Linked DNA regions of Canis lupus familiaris. The protein of the gene in region 5 interacts with the protein of the main gene of each other region in a pairwise test. Links are inferred from orthologs where the notes say so. Each region holds a gene or a part of one and is shown on either strand. Other genes may lie near its edges. The genes, in order: CYTH1, KIF5A, LMO4, DLGAP1, ITSN1, AP2B1 and SNAP25.

Region 1 (3,500 bases), on a different chromosome or scaffold from region 5:
GGGATCGAGTCCCATGACGGGCTCCCTGCATGGAGCCTGCTTCTCTCTCTGCCTGTGTCTCTGTCTCTGTTTCTGTCTCTCTGTGTGTGTGTGTGTGTCTCTCATGAATAAATAAATAAAATCTTAAAAAATAATAAAGAATTAAAAAAACAAAAAATTTGTATTTAAGACGAGGCTTTATTGACATGAGGAAAATGCTGATAAGGTTAGCAAAAAAGCAGGATCAAAACTATCTTTCTGCTTTGATTCCAGTTGTTAGAGTGTGCATCTGTGAGATGCATTTGTGATGTGCTGCACTAGGCACATTTGTGTAACGAAACAAAATAAGTCATTAGCAGGTAGAGGGTTCATAGGTATTTGGGATGTTCTTTTTTACACATTGTGTCGTTCTCCAGGTTGCCTGCTGCATTCTCCTTTTGCAATCTGAAAAATAATCACCTTTAAGTCTTGAATACTTGATGCACTTATTTGTGGAACTCTTTAGTCAGCAGCAGTCAGTAGTGTGCATTTAGAAGGCATCCCGATGCGTGGATTTGTCTCATCCTTTTGAGAGCATGGCTTTTAGTTTGATTTCATGGGACATTTCTTGGTCCTTCTGGCCAGATGTTTCTGATCCTCTTTTTGCTTTTCTCTTTAGACACTTGTTACGTCCTCTCATTTGCCATCATCATGTTGAACACCAGCCTGCACAACCCCAATGTCAAGGATAAGCCCACTGTGGAAAGGTTCATCGCCATGAATCGTGGCATCAATGATGGGGGGGACCTGCCCGAGGAGCTGCTCCGGGTGAGCGCACTCTAGCCCAGGTGGTGGTGAACATGGGACAAGAGTGAGACATATGCTCTGCTCGTAAAATTTCTTTAATTATATAAAGTCCATTAAGAAAGTAGTCATGAGGCCCAGCAAGGGAATCAGGAGGGGAAAGTGGTTTATAAGTCTGAAACAAAGTGTGAGAGGAAGTCAGGCTGCTTTCTTTTCTTTCTTAATTATCCATTAGGCATCTTATTTATTTTGTCTCTGCGAGCTGCCCGAAGGCAGAACTGGTCCTGTTCTTCTGTTCGCAGTGCCTGACAAATCATGGCACATAACCTGTGCTTACTGAATGAATGAAGAGAAAGGGGAGGGAGAAGAGATGTTTCTAGAACCAGAGACATGCAATGTCGTCTTTTATCCCAGAATCTGTATGAGAGCATAAAAAACGAACCCTTTAAAATCCCAGAAGATGATGGGAATGACCTCACTCACACTTTCTTCAATCCAGACCGGGAAGGCTGGCTATTGAAACTCGGTAAGTAACGCACTCTGGTCAGGGCTCCTGATGCAGAAACAGAAAGGATGCGTGCGTGCACTCGCACATCCACGCGCTGTGGGAAAGTGGGGTTGGTGACAGGAGGCACTATGGAGAGACTCTGGGATGAAGTGCTAGTGTTCTGGTGAGATCCACCTCCATAGTTAGTGCCCCACGGCATATACAGATACTGCTGGGTGCAGACTCACTCTGCATAAACACTGCTCCCATGGGTTCACACTCCACATTTTTACTGTGCAGTTGATTAGCCAGGTTTTATTTCAAGGCAGTTCCCTGAGAACCTGGTCCTGGTCCTTTCTCTGCCCTCTTCGTCCCTGGGAGGGTGGCCAGCCGTGTCCATCTCTCTACTTCCCATCACACAGATTTATATCTGGCGCTCCCACCCCCCCACCCCAGTGCATCATCACTTCCTTCTGCATCTGGCTCCCCACAGGCAGTATGCATGGCAAACCTGAGCCCTTGGCTGCAATGCGACCCACAGCGCTCTTACTCATTCTCGGGCAGTGGTTCCCCACCCCACCCCCAACCTCCTTTCCAATCCAAATCAGCCACTTTGATGATTTTGTTCATTCAGAAAAAAAAAAATATATATATATATATATATACATATTCCTCTTCCCTCGGCCAAAAGTGAGCTTATGTTGCTGAAATTTGTAATCATGCCTTGTATGGAGGTGATAGAGTAACCAAAAGGAACATTCGTGCCCATGTGTGATTATTTCATTACTTATTCCAAAACACAGAGAGCCCCTGGACATAATTGGCACTTTTTTGGCCCTGGGGGGAGAATACGTTCCTCTTTTCTTCTGCCTTGGCCTTTTGATGCATGGGTTCCCTAATTACCAGGAGGTGCTCCCCCTCTACCATTTCATCGACTAGTCCTGGTGAAATTAGAAGTCGTTACTCTCTCGGCTGTGACTGACACCCCTGAGAAGTGCTGAAATGGAATCTTAAATTTCTGACCAGTTCAGGTAGCAGTAGGATTTATAATTCCTTTAAAGAGCGTAGCCCAAGACCTTGGGTTTCTATATAATTATTTCATAAATTCTCCTGAAAGCACCACTTCTCCAATTGGGGCTTTGGCCATCTCTTGAGTTGGCCGACATTTCTCACGTCTCTAAGCCAGTAGAATCTTTGAAGCGAAGGTTCTAAAATGGCCAACCCCAGAGACAGCCGTCCTGCTCCACGCCTTTCCTGCCAAGTGGACCGAGCTAAAAGGAAACCCACTGGAAATCTAAAAAGTACATCCAAGTTTGGATTTACTTCCCCTCCAGTGAAATTTGTTTAAATGCTAATGCTGAGTGTTAGCTTTGACAGCCCAGATGCTAAAATTAGAACAGTGTAGAGATTATCTTGGCTCTTGTACCAGGATGACATGTAAATTCATGAGGCATCCCATAGTTTTAAAAGGAAAAAAAAATTAACGAAACGTGGGATTTGTTTTGAGGTCATTGCATTACCTTTTCTAAAGCTCCTCCAAAGCCCTAAGTCTTCATATTGTGTTTTCATTGTAGCCACTTAGGATCACCCCCGTGTACTTATGTGCTGCAGAAGGCGGGGCTCCCAGCCATCTGCAGTTGTGTGTGTATGTCCATGTATGCATATGGCCGTAAGAATGTGTATTCTTGTGTGCACACATGTGTACGTATGTATTCATGGGGATATGTGTGTGCATTCTTACACACACCTTAAAAAGTGATAGCCATCTGCAGAGAGACACTAAATTTTCCCCTCTTAGCTCCGGATTCTGGATGTACTAATAAACATTCACTTTGTGAGAATGGATCTGCGGCATATTTGGGGCCAGGTTTTCGGTAGTGCTGCAGATCCCGCCTTCGCCAGGTGGTGCGTGGCGGATGAAACAAGCTCCCCCATTCACACGCCAGACAGTGGCATTCGCCCCGCTAGTGATTTCATGTTTGGCTCCCCCAGGACAGATGTGAATGACTAATACAGTGCACTTTGAGATTAAGGAGTTTGGTTTAATTTCTTTGTTTTAATTTTCTTTTCTCCCTCATTTGTATGTTTCCATGATTTTGGCTCTCCTTTTCCTTGCCCCAAACTCCAGGAGGTATGTAATCCCCCCAACCTGCTCGCTCGCTCTGCCAAGGCCACTGTACTTGCTGCAGCGTTTTTCTTATTTTGTTATTTTTGGTTATTTTGTTTTTTAATTGCTGGTGGTAGTGTTAAT
Region 2 (3,500 bases), on a different chromosome or scaffold from region 5:
GTTCAGGTTATGATCTCAGGGTTATGAGATCGAGCCCCATTTCAGGCTCTGCACTCAGTGCGGAGTCTGTTTGTCTGTCTCCCTTTGCTGCCCCCCCTACCCCCAACTTGTGTCCTCTCTCCCTCTCCCTCTTTCAAACAAACAAACAAATAAATTAAATTTTTAAAAAGGAGAAAGACTTTCCCATCAAGCTTAAATCCCCACACCCTGAAAGCTTAAATTTCTCCTCCTCCAGGATTCTAGCCTTAAGGTTCCAGCTGGTCTCAGGGTGTTTCTATATAGGCCTAGGTATTTCAGCTCATCTTCTGACCCTTTTTGCTTTTAGAAATTTTGGTGAATGGAGGCAAGGGACAGGGGTATGAGTGTGTGATTCCTCTGCATCTCTTGCCAAGAACAATGTGATCTTTCTTTTCCTTGCTCTCCTCCCACCCCTGCCCATCCAATGGGGCTAAACACCACTCACCATCCAGAAGGTCGCGAATTTTGTCCAGGTAAATCTCAAAGTAAGAAACCTGGTCAGGGAGAAAGTGAAGAGGGCCTATCATAAGTCTGATATAGGGATCTCAAGTGAATGTGACCCACTCAACCAGTAGGAGGAAGAGAAATAGAGCAGAAGAACTGTGGTAAGCAGGGCAGGAAAATAAGTTGGGGTGCCCAGGTTCTCAATGAGTTCATACTAGCTCTTCTCCTCCTAGTCCCTCTCTGACGACACCCAGCTGTTAAACCGTGATCACCTTGATATGGAACTCCAGGTTCTCATCCATGGAGTAGATGTGATTGAAGATGTCTCGGGCAATTCGAGGAATGATTCCCATCAGCTGGGGGTCATGCAGCTTTCCCTGGAGAGGAAGAGTATCTGAGACTGAGACTGGAACTCAAAACAATGAGGCCACCCAAGAGGTCAACAGGTGAACATGAAGGTGATAGTTGATGAGAGGATCATCTGAAGGTACAAGGCAGTCACTGCCATGTCTACCGAGAACAAGGAGAGAACTGAGGGTCCCTTTGGACCTTTATTGCAGCTGCTTTTCTGGATCAAAAGAAGCAAACTGGAGTAGTGGAAAGGATGGGAAACTGCAGCAGGCTAGAGGGATTTCACCAAGCTTCCATTATAATCCTGCCCCTCAGTTCATCCTCCAGACCAAGCAAGCTTGATTCCTAGATCTTGCCTGAGATTCCTTGGCCTCTCATTAACACTCACAGTTCCTCACCCCTCATGAAAGTCAGAGCCCTCACCTCCATGGTATGTGTTTTCCCTGAGGATGTCTGTCCATAAGCAAAAATGGTGCCATTGTAGCCAGCAAGGACATCTGGAAGACATAGCCAAGAAAGAGCATTGGTGGAAAGAAGTGGAGTAGGGAATGGGGAACCAGAAAATATACATTCTAAAAATACATCTTACAAAGATAATACATGCTACCTTTGACAATCTGCATGGCACACGCATGATAAACTTGCTCCTGAGTCGTGTTTGGGGGGAACACACGGTCAAAGACATATGGCTTCCCCTAGAATGGAAATAAAACATGGCAGACATCAGGAGTCAGGAAATGAGGAAGAAGAAATGCTGCAGCCCCCTTCCATTAGCCTGAGAAGGTACCTGTTTTTCAGCCATCTATATCCACGGACAGTTTGGGGCGGGGGGGGGGGGGGGGGGGGGGGGCGGGATGAAGGAAACCAGACAAAGAGGAGCAAAAGTTGGTGCTGACACCAGGAGCTGTTCCTGTGCGCTAGAGAGCACCATTGAGAAGTGTCACAGCCTCAGACTGTGTGAGGGGATCTCAGTCTTGGTGTGATGACTTAGTACTGCACCACTCCAGGCCTTTCCCTGGGAAACCAATGGGAAAAGACAGTAGGGCCGCAGGCCGTGAAGAGTGAAAGACAATTCATTAACATTAAAAATCTACCTCTAGGTTTAAAAATATCTTCCTCAATAGATGCATATGTCCTGATGCGGACGAATCTTCAAGATGCATTAAATGAAAGATGCAAAGTTAGGGGCACATGTCGGTTATGTTCCCTATTGTGTAAATGAAATACAGGTACACCAAGATGCTGAGCTGTTGTTCAAACATTAACACAAGCTCTCTCTCCGTGAAAGAAATATATGAAATCAGAATCATGGGCCTCCTTTTAGCAAAGAGATACTGAAACAAATTACTGACCTACAAGTACTTTGTTTCATTTAGGTTATGTTACAAATCATGTGCTAACAAGCATGCTAAAGATACAAAATATTTAAAACCTGGGGAACCAAACAAAGAATATATTCACTATGTAATCATACTAAAGTGCAGATCTCTGGTAAGATTTTTTTTCTGGTAAGATTAAATAAGACTATGCTTGTTCTCCATCACAAATGACAAATTTCTCAGTCATGTTTTCCTGCCATTCAGTATAAAGAGATTATGACTTAGTTGTCAAGTTGTTTTACTATAGACCCCATCTTTATCCAACTGAAATGTAAAGCTCCTAGGTCTATGGTCACCAGAGTTGGGGAGACATGTTTCAACTAATTAAGGAAGTCATAAAATTTTAATTGGTCAGAGCTGGAGATAACGGCTCTAGGAATATTCATAATATTCCATCTATACATAGAACTTTTTTCTAGAAGGAATTATACAAAAAATGTTAACAATGATTACTTTGAAGAGAGACAAGTCTTTTATTTTACATTTTTTAAAATTTTTATTTATTTATGATAGTCACACAGAGAGAGAGAGAGAGAGAGAGAGAGAGAGGCAGAGACACAGGCAGAGGGAGAAGCAGGCTCCATGCACCGGGAGCCTGATGTGGGACTCGATCTCGGGTCTCCAGGATCGCGCCCTGGGCCAAAGGCAGGCGCTAAACCGCTGCGCCACCCAGGGATCCCTTATTTTACATTTTGTATCTTGGCTTGCATATATATGTGTGTGTGTATACACACACACACACATTTTAAAAGATTTTATTTATTTATTCATGAGAGACACAGAGAGAGACAAGCAGAGACACAGGCAGAGGGAGAAGCAGGCTCCATGCAGAAGCCAAATATGGGATTTGATCCCGGGATGCCAGGATCACACCCTGATTCAAAGGCAGATGCTCAACACCGAGCCACCCAGGTGTCCCACTTACATATATTTTTAAATTTTTAAGTTTTATTTTACTTAATAATCTCTACATCCAAGGGGGGGCTCAAACTCACAGCCTCGAAATGAAGAATTGCATGCTCTTCTGACCAAGCCAGCCAGTGCCCTTGGATTGTTTCTATTTTTAAACCATGTACAAGTATTTTTTCTTAATTTCTTAATGTGTGTTTCATTTTGTTTCCTTTGTTTTACTTCGTTGCATAAAGGAAAACTAGTAGATATATTTTTTTAATATTTAAGAGATTTGAAAAGTCTGGCTTATGGGGAAAAAAAAATCTACCTGAAATATTTGTCTGATCTCTCTTTGGTAAAAGCCTTTGAAACCCCAAAACCGGAATCCACAAAGAGAAATAAGTTGTGAAGATGCTC
Region 3 (3,942 bases), on a different chromosome or scaffold from region 5:
GAGGTGGTGGGAGGGGAGGCAGGGGACGCGAGGGAGGGGGTGCGGTGTGTAAAGTTGCGAAACTGGTTTTTCGTATTTTAAACAGCACCTTTCACATGCCATTGTGGTGACCGCCATCTCCCATTATTGTTCCAAATCTCATTTCATTTTGAAGATCAATGAGTGTTTTCTCTGGGTTTTCAGGACACAGGCAAGAATAATAGATCATTGAACTTTAGGATGCCTGTTAACTTCCTATACAAACACTCTCCACTTTGGTCTCACTAATCTGCCCTTGATCAGCAATTTAAATGCTAAAGCTTTGTTCCTCCAAAGGGGGGGGAGTGTGTGTGTGTGGGGGGGGGGGGGGGGCGACGTTACAGATAATATGCGAGAAGGCACTATTAAGGGATGCACAAGTTATATTCGAGCCAGTCCTGCTGTCACCAAAAACTGCTTTTAAAAAAATTCCCCACTCTTTCTAATGAATGTCACGAGAAGCAACTGGGGTATAATATAGGAATCAATTTATAAAGCTTAGCCTAAACCGATTAATTTGTTGCCTCCAATCCTGAGTCCAATAAAGTCCTAGTGTTCCTCCAGTCACTTATTCTATAAAAAGATCAAGTTATTTACTGCCAATTAAGCAGCCTGTTTTGTCTTTGTCCTCTGTAAGCCGAGAGTGGAGGCTCCCCCCGAGGCTCCCGGCTATCTGCTCAAGACATTCAGCTGATACCTCAGAAGGGAGAGGGCGAACTTTGCCTGTCCCCGGCCCAACTTGGCTGCTGCAAAAAAAAAAAAAAAAAAAAAAAAAAAAAACAACCAGGGGAAGGGAACGAAACAAGGACTCGGGTTCCTTAAATAGGCCGATTTTAAACACATTTCCTCCGAAAGAGTCCCGGAACGTGTGTCCAGTGACCGCACAATAAACCAGAATAAGAACTGCACCAATTAAGCTGTAACAAAACCCTGAGACTTTGGAAACAGGACCACTCTAAAACCCATTAGCATTGCATTTATCCGAATGCATCATACCTTTATGTAAATTGATTTATCTGATGCATTTACTCGAGGAATTGCTTTTTGTTACAATTTCAGCCCTAACCCAAATGAATCTGCATTTCCTGCCCGAGGTCTTTAAACTGTTTCCCCCAACGTTTTAATCGCTCCGAATTCCTTTTTAAAAGGGGAGAGGGAGGGAGGAGATTCCAAGCTCTTCCCCGCCCCCATCTTTGGTGAGAGGTAAATATATATGTATATTTTTTTCGAAAAGGAAACATTACACTGAGAAAAGCATCCAGTAACCCCATTAGCTAAAGCTCTTAAGGACAAGCAATACCTTAATGCTGATTAAATCTAAAAGAGATGAATCAAGAGGACTGACCAGAAACTGACTCCCCTGATAACTAAGGACGGGCCCTCATCAAGTTTCATTTAGAGTTGGAAAAAAAAAAAAAAAAAAAAAAGAAAGCTTTTAAGTTAAATAGGCTTATACTCTAGTAATTACATAGCCAAGCAATTTAGGTCCTGGGATAGTCAGTGAAATAGAAAGCAGAACTGGCAGCTAGAGGCAAAATCTGCCCCCCTTTAACAACGTCTCTGGTGTTTTTTAATGGAGACCAGGGGAGGGACAAACGTAGCGCTGGCAATTTGTAGTACAAAAATGGATGCTTAATTCATGTCTTGATTTTAATTAGGTGATTCACCGGATTTCTCCTGGATTGGAACAAAAGACTTATAAGCCAAGAGGAATTTTTGAAAAGAACCAGCAATACTGAATCCTGCTCACTTAGATCCTTTCTGCCACTGTTTCAAAAATAGTGTTTACTGGGGGGCTGGGGGGGGGGGTCGTGACTATTTCCCCCACACTACTTCTCATACTTAAACCCTCATTTAAGCACCTCCGGCCTTTCCCTTAGGAACTGAAAATACCCCCCCACTACCACACACACACACACACACACACACACACACACGCACACACGCACACACACCCCTCCCCACCCTCCCAGGTCCCCAGCAGCCCCGTCTCCAAGAAGAACCCTTTTGTAAGCAGGAACCGCTACAAAGCTGGCGGCCCGGGGCCGGCTGCCCTCCGTGCTAGCTCGCAGGCCGGCCTCGGTAGTTTCAGACTCGCGCATTATCCAAGCCGACGTATTGTTTACTTGCAATTTGGGACGGTCAAGGGAAGGAAGCCAAAGAAAACAGCCCTGGCCCACATCGGCCCCCTCCTCCCTCTGCCCCCCCTCGCCCGCGGCTCCCCAGCCGTCCCCTTACCTGCTTTTCCCCTATATTGCAATACTGCGAGAGGCGGCGGCGGCGAAAAGCGAGCGAAGCCGCTCGGCTTCCAAGGAAGGGGCGCCTTGGCTGGCGGAGCTGGAGGGAGGGGGGATGTTCTCGCAGAAGCAGGAAAGGGGAGGAGGGGGCTAAGGGCTGCTTTTTTTTTTTTTTTTTTTTTTTTTTTTTAAACGCGTCGCCCTGAGGCTGGGTCGGGGGGCCCCGCCGTAAGCGGCAGGCGGCCGGGAGCTGGAGTGTCAGGCTGAGTCCTCCGCGTCGTCCTCCGCCTCCGCCTCCGGCTCCGGCTCCGCGCGAGCAGCTGCAGGAGCCCGCGGCCCGCGCGGCGCGGCTTCAGGCGCGGCGCAGCGGCAGCAACTGCTGCAATCGCTGCTGCAAGTTTGGCAATGTGGCTTCACTTTGTATATGCCCCCGCCCCCGCCCGCGCGCCTCCCGCTCCTCCTCCTCCTCCTCCTCCTCCGCCTTCCTCCCTCCCGCGCGCCCGCCCGCCCGCTCGCTCGCCCGCTCGCTCGCTCGGGGCCGGCGGCGGGCGCTCGGCCGCGCTTCCTGCCCCTCCAGCCGGGGAGCGGCCGCGGGCACCAGAGCCCCGGAGCGGCGGCGGCCGGCGCGGAGGCCGGGAGCCGGGGAGCTGCGGCCGGCCGGGCCCGGCGCGCTGGAGCCTGCGCCGCTGCCCGGGCTGCTGCTGCTGCGGCGGCCGCCCGGCTCGGAGGAGGCGGCGGCGGCGGCGGCGCTGGCCTCTAGCCGGCTCGCTCGCTCCCTGCGCGGCGCTTACACATGTGTTACTGACAGAGCCGAATCCCAACTACTCCCCGGCTCTGCCGCCGACGTCAGCGACCCTCAGCCACTGGGCGGCCGGGTTGTTCAGGCGGAATAATAAAACCTGCCAATCCGGGGCAGGACAAAGGGAGGACTGGAACGAGACTCCGCGGGCGGGGGAGCGGGGGAGGCGGCGGGCGGAGACGGCCCGGCCGGGGGCAGGTGGGCGGCCGAGCCCCGGGGACCCTCGCGGGACCCCCGGCGGGACCCCAACCCCCTCCCGCGGGGGGCAGGATGGAGCGGCCGGGGGCGCCGCTCCTGCCCGCGCCGGCGATCGCGGGGACCCGCACCCGCGCGCCCCTCGGGGACCCCCCCCCCGCGCGCCCGCGCGAGCCCCGCAGGAAACTTCTCGTCTTGCTCAAAAATGGGTCCCCTCCTGTTGGGGAGGAAGAGTCTCCCCGAAACCTCCGGGCGGGGGGCTTCGCTCGCACGCAGAAGAGGTTTTGTTTTTCTGCCTTTAATTCGCGGGCGTTGGAGACGGATGAGCCCTTAGTGGGAAGTTGAGCGAGCGAGGAGGTGGGGACCGAGTCCGCAGGTCTTGCAGGACTTGGCCGCCCGGCCCCGGTCCCCCGCGTGGGCCCGAGCGCCGGCCGAGAGCCCCGTGGGCGTCTCGTAGGGGATCGTCCGAAGTCGGAGCTGAAGAGCTCACAGCCCGGACTTTGGGGGTCCAGGGGAACTTCAGGGAGGAGGGCTCGGCCTCCATCCACCCCTGCTGTGCAGGAGGAGAGGCCCGATTCCTCAAGCCCCCCGTCCCCCCCCCCCTCCCCCCCCAGACAGCAACAAGGAATGGCAACATTCACCATCCCACAGCCTCTGGGGAGGAAGAAAGGTCACGTCTAGTATAAATTTAAC
Region 4 (3,993 bases), on a different chromosome or scaffold from region 5:
GGAGGTTGGAATAGATGTACTCTTTAGCTCTCAAATTCCATTAATAGTTTCTGTGGCTTAACTCATCTAGCAACCTTATACTAAATGAGGCAATACCACTTTGAGTGGTGTTGATTATGGAATTGTGTGCTGTTTGTGAAAACTATCCTCATATTGGTGGCACCTTCTGAACACTGGGATGGACTCGGACACTGTCCTTGCCCAGTGACATATTCTCAAGGTTTGGTAGAGGCATTGTCAAGGGAGCCAGTCTTGTCAAGAGGAATTCTGAGAGCAAAAAGTTGAATTTCTCAGCAGAAGACCTTTTTTCTTGCATTTCTTCTTAAGGTAAGAGTGCAAAACAATCATGCCATGCCTTTATAGTCCAGTAAAAACCTTTTTTTTTTTTTTTTTTTTTGTTTGTTTGTTTTTTAAAGATAGTTGTACCAGGAGAGAAGGGAGAAAAAAAAAAAAAAGACACCGTGAAAAGGAAAAATATGAAGGTCCTTCTTTGGGAGGGTTGTATCTTGGGGAAAATGAAAATTACTAGATAGAGGAATTGGCCCCAGGGGTGGGTGGTGGGGGAGAAAAAGACTCTGCTCCTGACATTTTTATCCAGGGGAATCTAGGTTCAGTGAATGGAAGGGTATTAGGGAAAGACATGAAGAGACTGAGAGAGGAGGAGCGGCTTGCCTTGGGGTCTGTACCCGTGTGGGATTTACAGGCTGACACTAATTGCATTTTATTGTGTGGATGCTTCCCTCCGCTTTTCCTCCTCTTCTCTGTTGTCCCAGGTCTCTGCAGCTGTGCTTGTCAGGTCCCCAAACTGGCTCGATCTCCACCTCCTGAGAACCCAGGGCCTTATTCCCATTCTCTGCGCTCTTGGGTGGGGGTTGGCGAGTTCCGGTGGGAGTGTGGTTAGTGTTGGAGGTGGTGACAACAATTGCAATGGTGACGATATAGATCAAGTTTCCCAAACAAATAGCTTAAGGCAGAATTTTACAATAATAATAATAATAATAATAATAATAATAAACAACCCCTCTGGATAGATCTAATTAAACTCCTTCCAAAATTCAAAAGATCATTGTTGGCTTTTGTAAAAAAAAGGTGGATTTATTTTAAAATTCTGTGTGGACTCCCCTTTCCTCTCCTCCCTATCCCATATTCCCTCAGACAAAAGAGGAACACTAAACATTAATAACTCCTTGCCTTTATGTAGGCGTGCTTTTCAAAGCACTTTTTATATCTAGTATCTCAAGATAACTGGATGGAGTTGGTCGCAAGTTTGCTTCCTGATAGGAGCAGTTGGCCAGACAAATGCTAAACAATGTGCAGAGCCCAGACCGGGACCCAGAACACACCACACAACTGGCAGGTGACAATTTCTAAGCATCCATCCCTCGACATAAATGGTACCTGAAGGTACTGGCAGGAGCGTTCTTGTTGACACGATTCGGACTTCACCATGGCCTGGTCCATGTTAACCGAGGCTTTCTGGTAAACCTCCCTGGCCCGGCTCACGGTCAGCGTGGAGGACCAGGCGCTCTTCTTCAGAAGCGGCGCGTCCAGGTTGACCGGCAGGTTGGCGCAGGTGGAGCACTTGACGTCGCTGTTACTCCGGGAGGCCTTGACCGCCTGCTCGCTGATGGTGTTGTAGGCCTCCACGAAGTACTGCGAGGCCGAGCGGTCGGGGCACCTGCCCATGGTCATCACGCCCGAGGGGGCGTGGTAGATGCACACGTCGCCGTCCAGGTTGTCGTCGGAGCTCCACCAGCCGGGGGACGTGCTGGGGCGGGCCTTGGGCTCGGGGCGCCGCTCCTTGCTCTTGCTGCGCTTGCCGTAGCGCACGGGCTGCGGCTCGTCGGGGCTGGCTTTGCCCCCGTTGACGCTGCCCTTGGCCGGCCCCTCCAGCGAGTGCGACTTGGTGAAGAGCTTCTGCACCGAGTGGACCAGGTGGCGGATGCGGCCGGGGCTGTCGCTGCGGTGCTCCACGGCCGTGCGCTTGTACTGCAGCGTGTGGTAGCCGTCCCGGCTGAGCGGCAGCTGCCTCTCAAACTGGTCCAGGAGGTTGGCGGGGATGCGGTTGGCCTTGGCGGCCAGCGTGCGCGGCACCAGCGCGCACTCGTCCTTCAGCTCCTGCTGCGACGTGTAGTGCCTGCGCGGGAAGGTGCTGCTGGCCAGCGGGTCGCTGAAGGGGCCCACGCACTCGGCCTGGAAGGAGTTGCGCTGCGTGTAGTAGGGGTGGTCCGCGGGGTGGTGCTCCACCGGGCTCAGCAGGTAGGGCTTGCGGTCCGAGTGGTGCGGCAGCGAGTCACAGGCCGAGTCACAGGTGACCCCGTGGTGGTGGCTGCGGCTGCCCGATAACCCTTTCATGGCGATGACACCCCGCGGCTGGGTGAGACCTGCGGGCGGGGAGGAACGAGAGGGGGAGACGGTCAGCACTTCTCTTGAACATCGACGTTGCCCTTTGGAGGATCCCGAGGCGGAAGGAGCCCTCGCTAGCCTGCAAGGCGGTTTCAGGGCATCGTCCGACCAGCTCTCCGACCTCGGTAGGGTGGGAAAGCGCGCCGCAGCCGGGGACCCAGCGGCGGGGGGGGCGAGGGCTGGCACACCCGGGGAGGGGGCTGCGAACATGCTGAACTGATTTCAGATCACCTGAAAGCAGACCCTCTCCCTCTAGGATTCCGGTAACGGGCTGTATCGCAGGTTTGCGTCTTGCCTGTCTGTCAATCATCGAGCACGGGCACCCCAAAGGCCCAGTTTCCCCGGGAAGCCCTTGCGGATGGATCCCCCTTCCCGAGAGAATTAGTTCCCCTCGGTGTTTCCATGGCATCTGCTGCACACTCTCCCGGCTCCTATGGAACTGTCTGTCTCAGGCATTCCCGGGCTACTTCCCTCCGTTCCTTGCAGGTCGGCTTAGACCCCTTAGCCACCTTTCTGTCCCCCCCCACCTGGCCCCAGGCTGGCCGTGTAAACACAAGCTAAGCACTCCATCAGGGTAAATAAAATAAATGCGGGTGGTAAAAAATGAGAAGCGACTGGCCTCTTATAACTCGAGGATAGATCTTTCTCCCTTCCCTCACATGACTTTCCCGTTAGAATTCTGTAGTGACCATCACAGCTCGCAAATAACCGCCCCCCCCCCCCCCACCAACACCACAAGTGATTAGAGTTGAAAATAGCGATGGTGGCAAATAAATCAGAGCTGTAGAGAAAATCTGCCCTGTTTTTTTGTCAGAGGGATCAAGAGCTGCTGCTGCTGCTTCTTCTTCTTCTTTCTTCTATGTATTTATTTGAGAGAGAGAGGGAGAGCCCGGGTAGGCAAGAGTGGGGGTGGTGCAGAGGGAGAGGGAGAGAATCTCAAGCAGAGACAGGGCTAAGCATGGAGCTCGATGAGAGACTCCATCACACCACCCATGAGATCATGACCTGAGTCGACACCAAGAGTCAGTCGTTTAACTGACTGAGCCACCCAGGTGACCCAATGGCTTCTTCTTAACAGAGCAGTTGAAGGATCAGCTTGAACTGGCTACTTTGAATGTCATGGCATCTCCTTTTCCTGGTTTAAAGGTTTCTGGTTAAACGTTCACAAGCGATGGCAAGAGGGCCAAAGGAAAGGCCCTGGAAATGTTCCTGAGGACACAAAATACCTGGGCCTGAGGGTCAGATCTGCCTCAAAGAGAAGTGACTCCTACAGATCTACCTGTGGGATCCCACCTCGTTCTAAGCACAGATCTTTCCTATGCTTTAGTAGCAGAGGCTGCTGTTCCACAGGGCAGAGTATTTTCTTTTGACTCTAGTTTCTTTGGTAGCTGAGTTCCTATTAACAGCCTGATTTATTTTTAAAGCTCCCTGTAACAAAAATTGTCATGATAGGAGTTGTCCTGAAAAGACAGCATGACTGTCCAAAATATCACTAATGTCATTTCATATTCAGAGAGGGAGAAATAAATGGTTTAACTTAACAACAATCACAACAAAATAAAACACACACACACACGTGGGCTAATG
Region 5 (3,926 bases):
GGGAGAAGCAGGCTCCATGCACCGGGAGCCTGATGTGGGATTCGATCCCGGGTCTCCAGGATCGTGCCCTGGGCCAAAGGCAGGCGCCAAACCACTGCGCCACCCAGGGATCCCCGTAGTCCATTTTTTATTAGCAGCCTAAGGTATAAAACTTAGTCTGCTACTTAAAATCTGCTATCCACTTCAGGGGACGGTCTTAGGAGAAGGAAAGCACAGGGCCAGCTGTTCTCCAACTTTTCTATTCCAAGAGAAATTCCTGGAGAACTTGTTTAAAAATCGGATTCCAGGGTCCCATCTCCAGGAATCGGATTCTGAAGTAAGGTGACAAAAAAAAAAAAAAAAAAAAAAAACCTGTATTTTTAACAAGAACCTCACTTAATGCTGATCTAAATGATCTGAGGTCCAGACTTTGAGAAACCCACCAGTAAGTGGAGCCATTCAGAAGAAAATGATCATTCCAAAGAGACTAGTGCTATGGCAGTGAAACCTGAACCAAGTAACATAAACCCAACCCTCACGTAATTAATTCTGTGTCATTCACAAATCTAGCAAATTAAAAAGATGAGTAAGAATGGAGCAATTTACCAGCACCTCCCCCTTAACATCTTATGGGATATTTGAATTTTCCTCAAACTAGGCATTTGCTGAAAAGATGAACTTGAGTTCTACCAACAGAAGAGATAAGCATTAAGAAAAAGGAAATTTCTAGTAAATTGAAAAAAAAAATGCTAAGAGGGACAAACATTTCAGGGAACTAACTTGCTACTACTCATTTTATGCCCTATTTCACAATGCTTAGTATCTGAACAATCCACAGGGTTCCAAAGTACATCAAAAATTTGTTCATTTCCTCTCCTACTCAGGCAGAATAATAATCATAGAGTTTTGTGAAGGTGCCATGTGCCTCGGCAACTTCAACACATTCTTAGATAAAGAAACGCCATTTAAAAGAAAATTCTATCAGAAATGCTTTTTAAATAGTTTTAATGCCACCACTAAATTAGTGTCCCTTCATTTCCAATTTAGATTACCTAAAAAAGTTCCTGGGTTCTTTACCAACCTCCTACAGAAAAAAAAAAAAAAAAAAAAAAAAATTTCCCCTGGATATTACAAGGACGTACATTTTTAGTTATAAAACAAACACCATGAGTGCAACATAAATGTGTCATGTAAACTAGAAGGGAAAAAAAAAAATCTTTTAAAGAAAAAACCCAGCATTTTGTTTGCAGAGATAAACAGGTAGAAATCCTAACCTTGAAGAGAGAAATTTAAGCTTCTGCAACCTTACATCAGCTAAAAATAAAGGTATCCAGGCAAATACATCCCTCCCATTTTAGGGGTTGAGAGTGGCACTTCGCGAACCAGCTGGCCTGCTGGGTCCTGGCCCCAGTTCCTAACCTCAGATCCTGTCCACTGCCTAATGCATGAGATCTCTGAGCCTGTGTGTTCTTCATCCGTTCAAAGGGATTAGTGACATTGCCTCTCTCCGTCAACGGAATTGAGATTTTTTTTTTCCCAGATGCATTTGTTTTTATTATCTGTCCTTTTTTACTGTGCTTGCTTCTATCATTTGCGCGTTTGACCACGGAAACGGCGAGAGCGGGATGCCCGGGGATAAGCACAAAGAGACGGCATCTGTCCGGAGTGCGCATATATTTAAAATTTCAGGCTGGTGCTGTCTTCAGAATAGCAGTGATGATGACAAAGTTCTAAGGGAAACTTTCATATTAAGGGGCTATCAGAAATCTCCACCGCCTCCCACTCAGCGGGGCAATCAAAAAAATAATAATAATTAATTAATTAATTCTGAAAAGACGCGAATTTATTTCTTCAAAAGCAAAGCCCGTCTCCAGTCCGAAATCACAACAAAAGATGCCCGTCGGGAATGTTATCTGCGAAGTTGTTTTCTAATCCCGAGGCAGACGGAGAAGTCAAGGAAGGTGCACCCCATGGGCCGGGTTCCTTTTCCTGCGGATCCCGGTCCCAGGTCGTCGTTGGGGCGAGCAGGGACCGCAGCGGTGGCCCCGCGGGGTCCGCACCGCGAGGCGGCGGCCGGGAGGAGCGGCGGACCCCGGGGACGCGCGCTCGCGGCGGAGGGGGACCCCCGGCGGGGCGCCTCGGGGCCGAGCGGCATTGACTGCCCTTCACCGGCGCGCGACGGAGACGAGGGGATGAGCCGGGGGCTCGAGGCCCGCGGGCGCCGGGTCCCCGGGAGGCTCGGCCCGGACGCCCCCTCGCCCCCGCGGACGGAGGCGCCCCGCTCGGCCGGCCGGGGCTGCGGACGCGCGTTCAGCCCGCAGCCCGTGCAGCCGCCGCCACCCGCTCGGCCCGCCGCGGCGTCCCGGCCTCCCCGCGCCGGCCACCGGCCGCCCCACCGGCCGCCCCGCCGCCGCCCCCGGGAGGATGGGAAGGACGACGCGCAGGGGCGGCGGGTGCCGCGCCTCCCGGGCGAAGGCTGCAGGGCGGCCCGAGGGACGCGCGCCCCGGGCGGCCATCGCGCCGACCCCCGCCCCCGCCCCCGCCCCCGCCGCCGCCGCCCCCGCCGCCCGGTCCAGCCTGCTCCTCACCTCATCTCCGGGCGGGTCCGCGCTGCCGCCCCAGGGACAAATCAGTGCAGCTCACTCGCCGCGGGGAGGGACGCAGGAGCCGCAGCCCCGCACACCATCCCCGCCCGCCCGTGCGCCCGTGCGCCCCGGAGCCCGCTCGGGATTCTCCCTCGCGAGCCGCCGTACTACGGAGCAACCAAGCTGCGCTCCCTCCCCTCTCCTCCGCTCCTCTCTACCTCCTTCGCTCCCTCCCTCGCTCCCTCGCTCCCACCTATCTCCTCATCTCCCTCCGCCGCCTCTCCCGCCCCCGTCCCGGCCACCATCTCCGCCCACGGATGGGTGGGAGCCGGCACTCGCCAATCGCAAGAAGGCGCTCGCGCCTCCTCACCGCCCCCTGCCGCTGCCCCCGCCCACCGCGGGAACGAGGCGGGGGCAACTAAAAAAAAAATGGAAGAGCACGGAGTGACAGCCACGTGAACCAATCAGCGAGCGCGCAAAGGGGGTTGGTGGGCGGGCGCTTGTCACTTCTCCCCGCCCCCTTCCCAGAAGGCGTAACCTTCTGGACTGGGATTTCCCTGACCCGCCTTCTGGAGCTGCACCGGTTTGGGTGCATCCGTCCGTTGTCCTGCGAGGCACTTATTAAGCTGTATCCACCTAAGTCAATTACAAAAGGTTTTAAGGGAGAGAGCAACGTGGAGGCGGAAAAAGAGGCGGGTCACTGCCCAAGGAAGGCGGTAGGGCAAACGGTTGGAATGAGGAAGGGTGTGGTCTTTAATAGAAATTTGCATAAAACGGAACCCATCCGTGAGACTACAACTTCGCCCTTTTATTGGTAGCCCCGGGGCGTCTCGTCCGGGCGGGGCATTCTGGGAGATGTAGTTCTGCGTTCGGTTGCTATGGCGTTCTCCACAGCCTCCGGTCCAGAAGTGACGAGAGGCCTGACCAATGGGAGCAGCGCCTGGGCCAGCGGGGGCGGGCCCTCTGCAGTAGGACTCCAAGGTGGCGGTGGCGAAGACGCAGGCCGTTGGGGCGCCTCGGAGGCAGGTGAGTCCCCGGACCTGGATTCTGTGTCTTTGGAAGCGGGGCCTTGGACTTTGGACGCCTCGCGGAACCGTGCAGCCCTGGGGTGAGTGGTGGGTCGCGTTGCACCCCAACCCCAGACCCTCTTGGGCCCAGGCCTAGCTTAGCTGAGGCCGCCGAGGGGCGGGAAAGACTTGACCATTTCCTGGTCCTTACAGGTTTTGATTGTGGGTTTTATCTCCATTTGCATCTCTCTTTACATTTATAGAAGCCAGAGTCGGGAAGTTCCCTTCCCCTGAATCTCCCAGGTTGGATATTTTTTGCACACCCACCCCTGCTTTCTTTTTATTCCTATAATTT
Region 6 (4,083 bases), on a different chromosome or scaffold from region 5:
AAGAAAAAGAGGCCAGAAAAAAATTAATAGGGTCAATTTCAAATGGCTCTTTGGGAAATAGCACCTAAATTAGACTTGGAGAGGCCACTAAATCCCTTCTTTTACAGAGTTAGGCTTTACACAGTTTGGTGCTCATAGCGAAAAACTGGCTGGAGTTAACCCAATTAGAGAGCAAAATGGTCATTCAGACATCTTTTATTACAAGGGTGAGACTCTGAGATTTCAAATATTCCAATAATTAGATATTTCAATGCAAAGGTAATAGTGCCTTCCATTATCATTTAGTTCATAAAAAATCACAAGACATCTAATTACAACAGACACCTCTGCAATTTCTTTTTCTTTCTTTCTTTTTTTTTAAGATTTATTTAATTTAGAGAGAGAAGGGATGCTTGGGTGGCTCAGCGGTTGAGCATCTGCCTTTGGCTCCGGGCGTGATCCCGGAGTCCCAGGATTGAGTCCCACATCAGGCTTCTTGCATGGAGCCTGCTCCTCCCTCTGCCTGTGTCTCTGTCTCTGTCTCTCTCATGAATAAATAATCTTTATTAAAAAAATTTTAGAGAAAAAGTGCATGTGAAAAGCAGAGGGAAAGGGACAAGCAGACACTGCTGAACCTGAAGCCTGACATGAGTTTGACCTCATGACTCAGAGATCACGACCTGAGCAGAAATCAAGAGTTGAAGGATTAACCGACTAAGCCACTTAGGCACCCCCACATTTGTGATTTCTATTTAACTATGGCAGGCTACATAGTAATGTTAATATTATACAATAAGAAAGAAGTTCTAAAGTTTTACATCAGATTTTTTTTTAAGATTTTATTTAAGAGAAAGAATGAGCAAGGGGCAGAGGGACATGTAGACTCCTCACTGACCAAAAGTCAGACACGGGGCTGGATCCCAGGACCCCAAGGCCATGACCTGAGCCGAAGCCAGATACCCAACAAACCGAGCCACCCAGGTGCCCCAAGTTTTACACCCAATTCTTAACCGAAATACCAAAACCCTGGAAAACTTAAGCCTATAAGAAGGAAGAAAGAAGAAGGTATGGTATCTAATTCGCTTTTTGCTCAGCTTAGGTCAAACCTGTGCATAAAAATGTAGTATCTCAAAATATGGATGTTTAAGGGGGGGGGGGGGGGATAAAAAAAGATGAAGTAGGCTTTTCTTGAGTCTCTCTTAACTCACAGAATGTTAGCTTTTGTGTTAATTTTACCACCCAACTTTCCAGTGAGGCTGTTTACAGAACACACTATCCTTTCTGCTTCCTTGGGAGTTTAAATTGTTAAGATACCTGCAAACAGTTCTCACTTTACCACCATGCTTAGTCATCACTGGAATGTGTTACACGTTTTCTTGTACAGCTGCATCTCCTCCATCCGCTGCTTTCTATTACTACTCTTAAGTGTACCCTGAGGCTAAGCAATACACTTCCAGAAAGGTAATTAAATCATTTAAATTGTTCCTCCTTGAGACCACCTTCTTGGTCATCCCGCCTTTTCTAAACATGTGGCATTTTCTTTTTCTTTTAAACCGAAATGATCATCAAAACAGTATCTGGCATTTAAAACACACTTCTTGGGGCGCGTGGGTAGCTCAGTCAGTTAAGCGTCTGCCTTCCGCTCAGGTCATGATCTCCAAGTCCTGGATCAAGCCCCACCTCGCGCTCCCTGCTTGGGGGGGGGGGGGGGGGGGGGGGGGGAGTCTGCTTCTCCCTCTCTCTCTGCCTCTCCCCCTAGCTTGTGCATGCTCTCTCCCAAATAAATAAAACCTTTTAAAAAGAAATGTTAAAAATAAGACACACTTCTTTAAAAAAAAAAAAAGAAAAAAGTTTAATGAAGCATCAACACTTGATGCACACTGCTCCAGAAAGAAAAGGCCAGGTGAGTTCGATAAAAGCCTCTCTCCCCAGGTAGAAGACTGCTCTGAAAACAAACGGCACAAATTAATTCTTCGGATTCAAAGAACATGGAAATAAACAGGACATTCCGGTTTCTTTACCTCTACAGCACTTCTCAAACCAGATCATTCCAGCTGAGCCCGGAAAGAAAAAAATTCTGGGCTAAGATTTACCCCTACTTGCTTCCTCTTCTCTTCTCTTCCCTCCAGCGTCAGGAATTCCTCTTCTGCCCCCACCCCGGGCGGGGGGGGGTCAACATCGTAGGGATGTAGTCCTCCATTACGAGGTGGGAGAGAGGTGTCGCTTAACCCCGAATTACGGGAAACTGGCGAGTTTTGCCCGTCAATGGACAAACCTGTGGGGGAATCCCGCTCCCTTTTTCCTTAGCTGGGCATGTCCCAGCCTCAGAGGGGACGCCAAGCGGGGAAGACGGAACATCTCTCGCCTTCGGCCTCTACTGGCCGCACCCCGGCCTCCGGCCCTAACCTCCGACCTCGAACATGATCTTCCCTCCGGTGCCCCCGACTCCCAGCAGCCACACCCGAGGATTCCCTCGCCACGACAGAGCGGCGGACTCCCTTTCTCCGACCCTCTTCCTCACAACGGTCACACCCGACGGCTCACTCCATCCTCAACGGTCACGCTCCTAGGATTCCCTCTTCCCCCTGCCAGCCTCCAAGGCAACCTGGGGTCCCCCCCCCCCGCAATCAATGAGGGACACACCCCGAAGTTAGCCGCCTCGAACTCACCGGAGGCAAGGGCGGGGGTGGCGGCAGCAGCCAGAGAGCACGGCCCGAGTGGTGTTGTAATGGTTTCCTGCACGTCACGACTCCTTCTCCAGGTCTAAGCCACTGCGCAAAACCCACTTTGCCAGGGACAAAGATGGTGGACAGGAAACTCTGACGTCAGAGAACCTCGCCGCGAACCGTCATCCCCGCGCGCGGGAGAACCTGAACGGCGGCGAGCTCCGTAGCCTTGGAGACAGGCGGGTTTCGCTTGGAAACCGGAGGCGGGACGCCCGGGCCAGTGGCTCTGCAGAGGGATGTATGAAACAAGCTGCTGTTCTCTGGACTTGATTCATCACACAGGCGCTCCCTAAAAACTCTCACATAGAAAAGGTGAAATATCCTGTCTTTTTATTTAAAAAAAATTTTTTTTTATTTTTTATTTTTTATTTATTTATTTATTTTTTTAATTTTTTTTAAAGCTCAGTTAATGGGCAGCCCGGGTGGCTCAGCGGTTTAGCACCACCTTCAGTCCAGCGCCTGATTCTGGAGACCCGGGATCGAGTCCCACGTCGGGCTCCCTGCATGGAGCCTGCTTCTCCCTCTGCCTGTGTCTCTGCCTCTCTCTCTCTCTGTGTCTCTCATGAATAAATAAATAAAATATTAAAAAAATAATAAAGCTCAGCTAATTTCGCAGGCCAGTTCAGGACTGTGGACAATGGTGACCCAGCCCCGGACTGTCCACGGGCAGTGGGACCAAAGGATAGTAGTGAAAAGAAAACAGGTTGAGATGGCATCAAATCTGAGTCCAAATCCATGCCACGAAAATGACTGATAAATCACTTAACATCTCCTTATCTGTGAAATGAAGCCAATGATCTAATTCTGTCCGGCTTGTGAAGTTTAAATGAGATCAAGTAAGTAAAGCACCTGGCTTACAATAGGCGTGCTTACACAAAAGTAAGTTGCTTTTGGAAACCAAGACCTAGAAATCTCTGTACCCCCACCTCAATCTTGCTGTGAACTTAAAACTGCTCTAAAAATAGTAAGTCTTTGGCTAAAAAGAAAAAATGGAAAGCAAGAGAGCCTGGGACAGAACTTGAAACCAAAATGCAAAAGGGACTGCAAAGTAGAAAGGGAGAAGGAAAAGCAGGTGGTTAAAATGTTTTAGCATGTTTTTAGAGTTCTTTTTTCTTTAGATTATTTATTCATGAGAGAGAGAGAGAGAGAGAGAGAGAGAGAGGCAAAGACACAGGCAGAGGGAGAAGTAGGCTCCATGCAAGGAGCCTGACGTGGGACTGGATCCCAGGTCTCTAGGATCAGGCCCTGCGGCAAAGGTGGCGCTAAACCACTGAACCACCCACCGGGCTGCCCCTATTTTTAGAGTTCTATAAAGTAGGAACTATACCAGTCTGTTCACTCTATCTCTGAGACCTAGCCCCCTCCCCAAAATTTATTG
Region 7 (3,500 bases), on a different chromosome or scaffold from region 5:
GCAGGCAGGCAGCACCTACTTGTTACAGGGACACACACAAAGCCCGCAGAATTTTCCTAGGTCCGTCAAATTCTTTTCTGCTTCTTTCATGTCCTTATTGATTTGGTCCATCCCTTCCTCAATGCGTTCCAGTTGTTCTGATTAAACACAAGTATTTTATCCCCACAGAATGAAGCAGATGGAAAAGGACAAAGAAAAAAAAGACAAAACTTCAGACATTCACTTTGACATTAAAAAAGAAAAAAATTAAAAGAAAGAAGAAAAAAAAGAAAACTGGACGCCACAGATTAGAGCTGGTACCCAGTACCTACTTGTTACAAGGACATATGAAAAGGCCACAGCATTTCCCTAAATCTTTTAAATTTTTCTCGGCCTCCTTCATGTCTTGGTTGATATGGTTCATGCCTTCTTCGACACGATCGAGTTGTTCTGGTTAGGACAAAGGGATGACAGTGTGGAATGAATTTTTTTTGGGTTTCCAACAGAACATGAGAAATGACTATGTGGAACGGAATTTGAAAGAGAAAGATATTACAATGCACGATCCCAGAGGATGCATTGCTGTAGACTGCTGCCACCTTACACGAGCACAGGTGGAAGGAAATGAACAAGAAAGATGTTCAAAAGAGTCTGTAATTCGGACATGATGGGATGGAGGTACGTAGGCCTGTTTGATTCTGAGGATCCAGGAAAACAGCACAGCATAGTCACTTACTCAGGCACCAATGAAACCCGAGAGAAAGAAAAACAGGGTGTTAATGTTTTAGGAATTCAGATTTAGTGCTACTAGAAAAGGTATCTGTCTCAACTTTAAATATCTCTATTTTTTGGCTGTAAGCATCCTGGACCAGGTAAGGGTAGCAAATAGAATCAATCTTCTTTGGGGAAAATAACAATTAAAGTGATAATTAGCAATGGGTACCAGATCTTTTTTTCCCTAGCAGTGGGCTGCTCCCTAGCCCAGGGGCAGTTCTTGGTTTTGAATACTTAATTCATACAGACACTGTTAAAAAAGGAAGCAACATCAGCAGAGTAATGTTCCAAGCACTGGGACATTTAAATTCCTCTCTTCATCCTATGACTTACTTGCTATCAAAGTTCTGGAAGGCATTTCACTTCTCTGCCTCCTGATTTCCCAGTCTCTACAATGGGGGGCATGTTAGATCCCTAACTCAGGCAGACAGCAGGGAAAACAAACACATGGGTCTCTGGAGGAGGGGTGATGGGCTGGAACATAGAACAGTACGGAGTCATTACTGCCAGCAAAGCGGACCTGAGTGCATCTGAGACATAGATCGATAGCCATAAAACCAGCTCATGCTTCTAGGTTGCCAGGGTTACATTCACTAACTTGATTAATTTTTCAAAAGTTATGGCACCACACTGAGTAAATTACAAGTTCAGTGAAGGGGTTTTAAAAACAGTTTTTAAGACCGTTAAAGGAAAGCAGCAGTGCAATGTCTTGGCTGTCTAGTTACAAACCCTAATTATACTTCCATCCCTCTTTTAATCTACATTTCTATGCACACCTGTCCCTTCCCTTTAGGAATAAAAGCTTGATTAGAATAAAACTGATAAATACATTTCGAGTCTAAGGGCATAAATAATTGCTTAAAAAGAATTTCACATTAAATTGTCCAGTGGAAATTATTCCAAAAAATGAAGAAAAGTTCCTTACTGACCCAAACTGGGGAAACGGTCTATCTAGAAAACAAGAGTCTATTGTGTTTTCATTAATGGGGCTAAAGAATAGAATCCAGCTTATTTGGAATCTGCTACCTGTGCCATGCTTTTCAAATGATGGATGAAGGCAAAATTTAAATGTTTCTGCAGCATTGGATAGCTGTAGAAAATAACAGTGTTGTGCTGGTGAACTTCTATTGCATAAGGATAGGTCTAGTAATGTCTTTAAGAAAATCTTTAAAAGGACTAAAAAAAAAAAAAAGTAAGTCTTTACATTCTAGAAGATTCTGTGCTTTTACGAAGGCTTCTTTCTAGTTCCCTTTTAAGACTGTAATAAATTAGTCTATAGATAAAATTATCTATTGAATAGGGGGATTGGTAGAGAGAGAGGAGCTCAACATTGTCAAGGGAAGAACCATATTAAATACAGACAGAAATCCCAAAGGAATACTTGCTAATAGCTTCCTGAAGTGCTGGGTTGAGATGGGATTGAAGGAGCATCTGGACTCAGGGAAAACATGAGATACTCCACTAATGATAGCTGGAATACACGCAGATTATGGCATGGGGATACACAGTCAGGCATTTGTCCTTCCTGAGGAGTTTCTCTGACAACATTTCAGAAGCCCCACTGACTGTGGCCAGGGATTAGGAGGTAATAAAAATAAAATATAATAAAATAAAAACATGAATTGGTCCCCAAGAGTTGTATTTCTGAACCAGAGAATTCAAATTAAAATATAAAAACAAATGTGCTCGTCCCAATTGGTATTTCTTCAAGCTGTTCAATCATGGGTTGCCAGACTGTTAGGCGAAGGCCATAGTTAAGAGAGGGATGCTGAAGCTCTTTCAGAAAAGTTGATTCAGAAAATGATTTTATAGCTACTAATATTGGTTGAATTTATCATTTTACACAATTATAAATCAAATCCCTTAATTTAGAAAATATTGTGGGACCATTTTGTCATAGTTAATTCTAACTATTCATTTTTAGAGTGTACTGTGTTAGGCATATTGAGACTTCATGGCATTTCAATGGATTTCTGTGATGACATCTCTCAGGAATGCTTGAAAATAATCAATATCTTCATTCCAACCTAGAGTGGCCAGCAGCATCTTACTGGCTGATCCAATGTACTGTCCATAGTTGACTGCTTCTTACCTCCCTAAGCTTGTTTTCTGTTTTCTGTCTATTCTTGGAGACTGGGAGAACAATAGCATTTTGAGTTAGTAGAGGTATTCCAGTAGATTATACTATACGTTTGGGCAAGAGATTGTACCTTCTTTTGCCATATTGGGATGACTGGTTATTTATGATAGTTCCACCAATGGCAGGATACTCAGGGATCTAAGTTTAGACATCTTTTCTACTAATCTTTCTAAAGTAAGGCAACATGAGGCCCTTAGAATACTCAATCTGATTAAAAAAGAAACAAACAGTAGAAGAAGAGCAAGATGTCAATGCTATTGACCCAGTGTGGAAGCCTTTATAAGTATATTCAGTTACCAGATGCTGCCTATATGATTTTCATTATCCTTGATGAACAAATGGAAATTCATTAAATAAATTTAAGTAGCCATATGTGGCTAGTGGCTACCGTATTGGACAGTGCAGCTTTAGTTATTCATAACAGATACTGGTGTGTAAATGTTAGCAAAAGAAATGTTTTCTCAAATGCTACTTTGTAGTGCCATGAACCTTTTAAGAAAGTCAGCTGGCACTCTGGAAGAGGCCTTACTCTGCCCTTACTCTGTCAGGCAGAGGTCAAAGATTTCACTGTTTAGTTTGGCGTTGATCCCATGGGATTTTCCCAAGG

What was found.
Region 1: the proteins of ITSN1 (region 5) and CYTH1 interact in a two-hybrid assay, tested with the Homo sapiens proteins (2 studies listed by BioGRID and IntAct). The link is inferred for Canis lupus familiaris from reciprocal best matches to the Homo sapiens genes ITSN1 and CYTH1.
Region 2: the proteins of ITSN1 (region 5) and KIF5A interact in a two-hybrid assay, tested with the Homo sapiens proteins (2 studies listed by BioGRID and IntAct). The link is inferred for Canis lupus familiaris from reciprocal best matches to the Homo sapiens genes ITSN1 and KIF5A.
Region 3: the proteins of ITSN1 (region 5) and LMO4 interact in binary tests that used the Homo sapiens proteins (3 or more experiments, as listed by UniProt). The link is inferred for Canis lupus familiaris from reciprocal best matches to the Homo sapiens genes ITSN1 and LMO4.
Region 4: the proteins of ITSN1 (region 5) and DLGAP1 interact in a two-hybrid assay, tested with the Homo sapiens proteins (2 studies listed by BioGRID and IntAct). The link is inferred for Canis lupus familiaris from reciprocal best matches to the Homo sapiens genes ITSN1 and DLGAP1.
Region 6: the proteins of ITSN1 (region 5) and AP2B1 interact in binary tests that used the Homo sapiens proteins (3 or more experiments, as listed by UniProt). The link is inferred for Canis lupus familiaris from reciprocal best matches to the Homo sapiens genes ITSN1 and AP2B1.
Region 7: the proteins of ITSN1 (region 5) and SNAP25 interact in a two-hybrid assay, tested with the Homo sapiens proteins (2 studies listed by BioGRID and IntAct). The link is inferred for Canis lupus familiaris from reciprocal best matches to the Homo sapiens genes ITSN1 and SNAP25.

What each region holds. Positions count from the first base shown.
Region 1 is NC_049230.1:3,543,606-3,547,105, forward strand, and holds part of CYTH1 (cytohesin-1), read left to right. Parts: intron 1-637; coding exon 638-786; intron 787-1,176; coding exon 1,177-1,288; coding exon of another isoform or gene 1,289-1,289; intron 1,290-3,500. UniProt on the Homo sapiens protein: Promotes guanine-nucleotide exchange on ARF1, ARF5 and ARF6. Promotes the activation of ARF factors through replacement of GDP with GTP.
Region 2 is NC_049231.1:2,000,984-2,004,483, reverse strand, and holds part of KIF5A (kinesin heavy chain), read right to left. Parts: intron 1,509-3,500; coding exon 1,421-1,508; intron 1,311-1,420; coding exon 1,237-1,310; intron 840-1,236; coding exon 735-839; intron 513-734; coding exon 464-512; intron 1-463. UniProt on the Homo sapiens protein: Microtubule-dependent motor required for slow axonal transport of neurofilament proteins (NFH, NFM and NFL). Can induce formation of neurite-like membrane protrusions in non-neuronal cells in a ZFYVE27-dependent manner.
Region 3 is NC_049227.1:61,435,912-61,439,853, forward strand, and holds the start of LMO4 (LIM domain transcription factor LMO4), read right to left. Parts: upstream 2,801-3,942; 5' UTR 2,257-2,800; intron 181-2,256; exon of another isoform or gene 89-180; intron 1-88. UniProt on the Homo sapiens protein: Transcription cofactor. Plays a role in establishing motor neuron identity, in concert with MNX1, acting, at least in part, to disrupt LDB1-LHX3 complexes thereby negatively modulating interneuron genes in motor neurons.
Region 4 is NC_049228.1:70,475,038-70,479,030, forward strand, and holds the start of DLGAP1 (disks large-associated protein 1), read right to left. Parts: upstream 2,801-3,993; 5' UTR 2,717-2,800; coding exon 2,638-2,716; intron 2,385-2,637; coding exon 1,399-2,384; intron 1-1,398. UniProt on the Homo sapiens protein: Part of the postsynaptic scaffold in neuronal cells.
Region 5 is NC_049252.1:28,830,322-28,834,247, reverse strand, and holds the start of ITSN1 (intersectin-1), read right to left. Parts: upstream 2,801-3,926; 5' UTR 2,568-2,800; intron 1-2,567. UniProt on the Homo sapiens protein: Adapter protein that provides a link between the endocytic membrane traffic and the actin assembly machinery. Acts as a guanine nucleotide exchange factor (GEF) for CDC42, and thereby stimulates actin nucleation mediated by WASL and the ARP2/3 complex.
Region 6 is NC_049230.1:38,042,700-38,046,782, forward strand, and holds the start of AP2B1 (AP-2 complex subunit beta), read right to left. Parts: upstream 2,801-4,083; 5' UTR 2,649-2,800; intron 2,454-2,648; exon of another isoform or gene 2,073-2,453; intron 1-2,072. UniProt on the Homo sapiens protein: Component of the adaptor protein complex 2 (AP-2). Adaptor protein complexes function in protein transport via transport vesicles in different membrane traffic pathways.
Region 7 is NC_049245.1:12,476,510-12,480,009, forward strand, and holds part of SNAP25 (synaptosomal-associated protein 25), read right to left. Parts: intron 658-3,500; exon of another isoform or gene 430-657; coding exon 312-429; exon of another isoform or gene 138-311; coding exon of another isoform or gene 20-137; exon of another isoform or gene 1-19.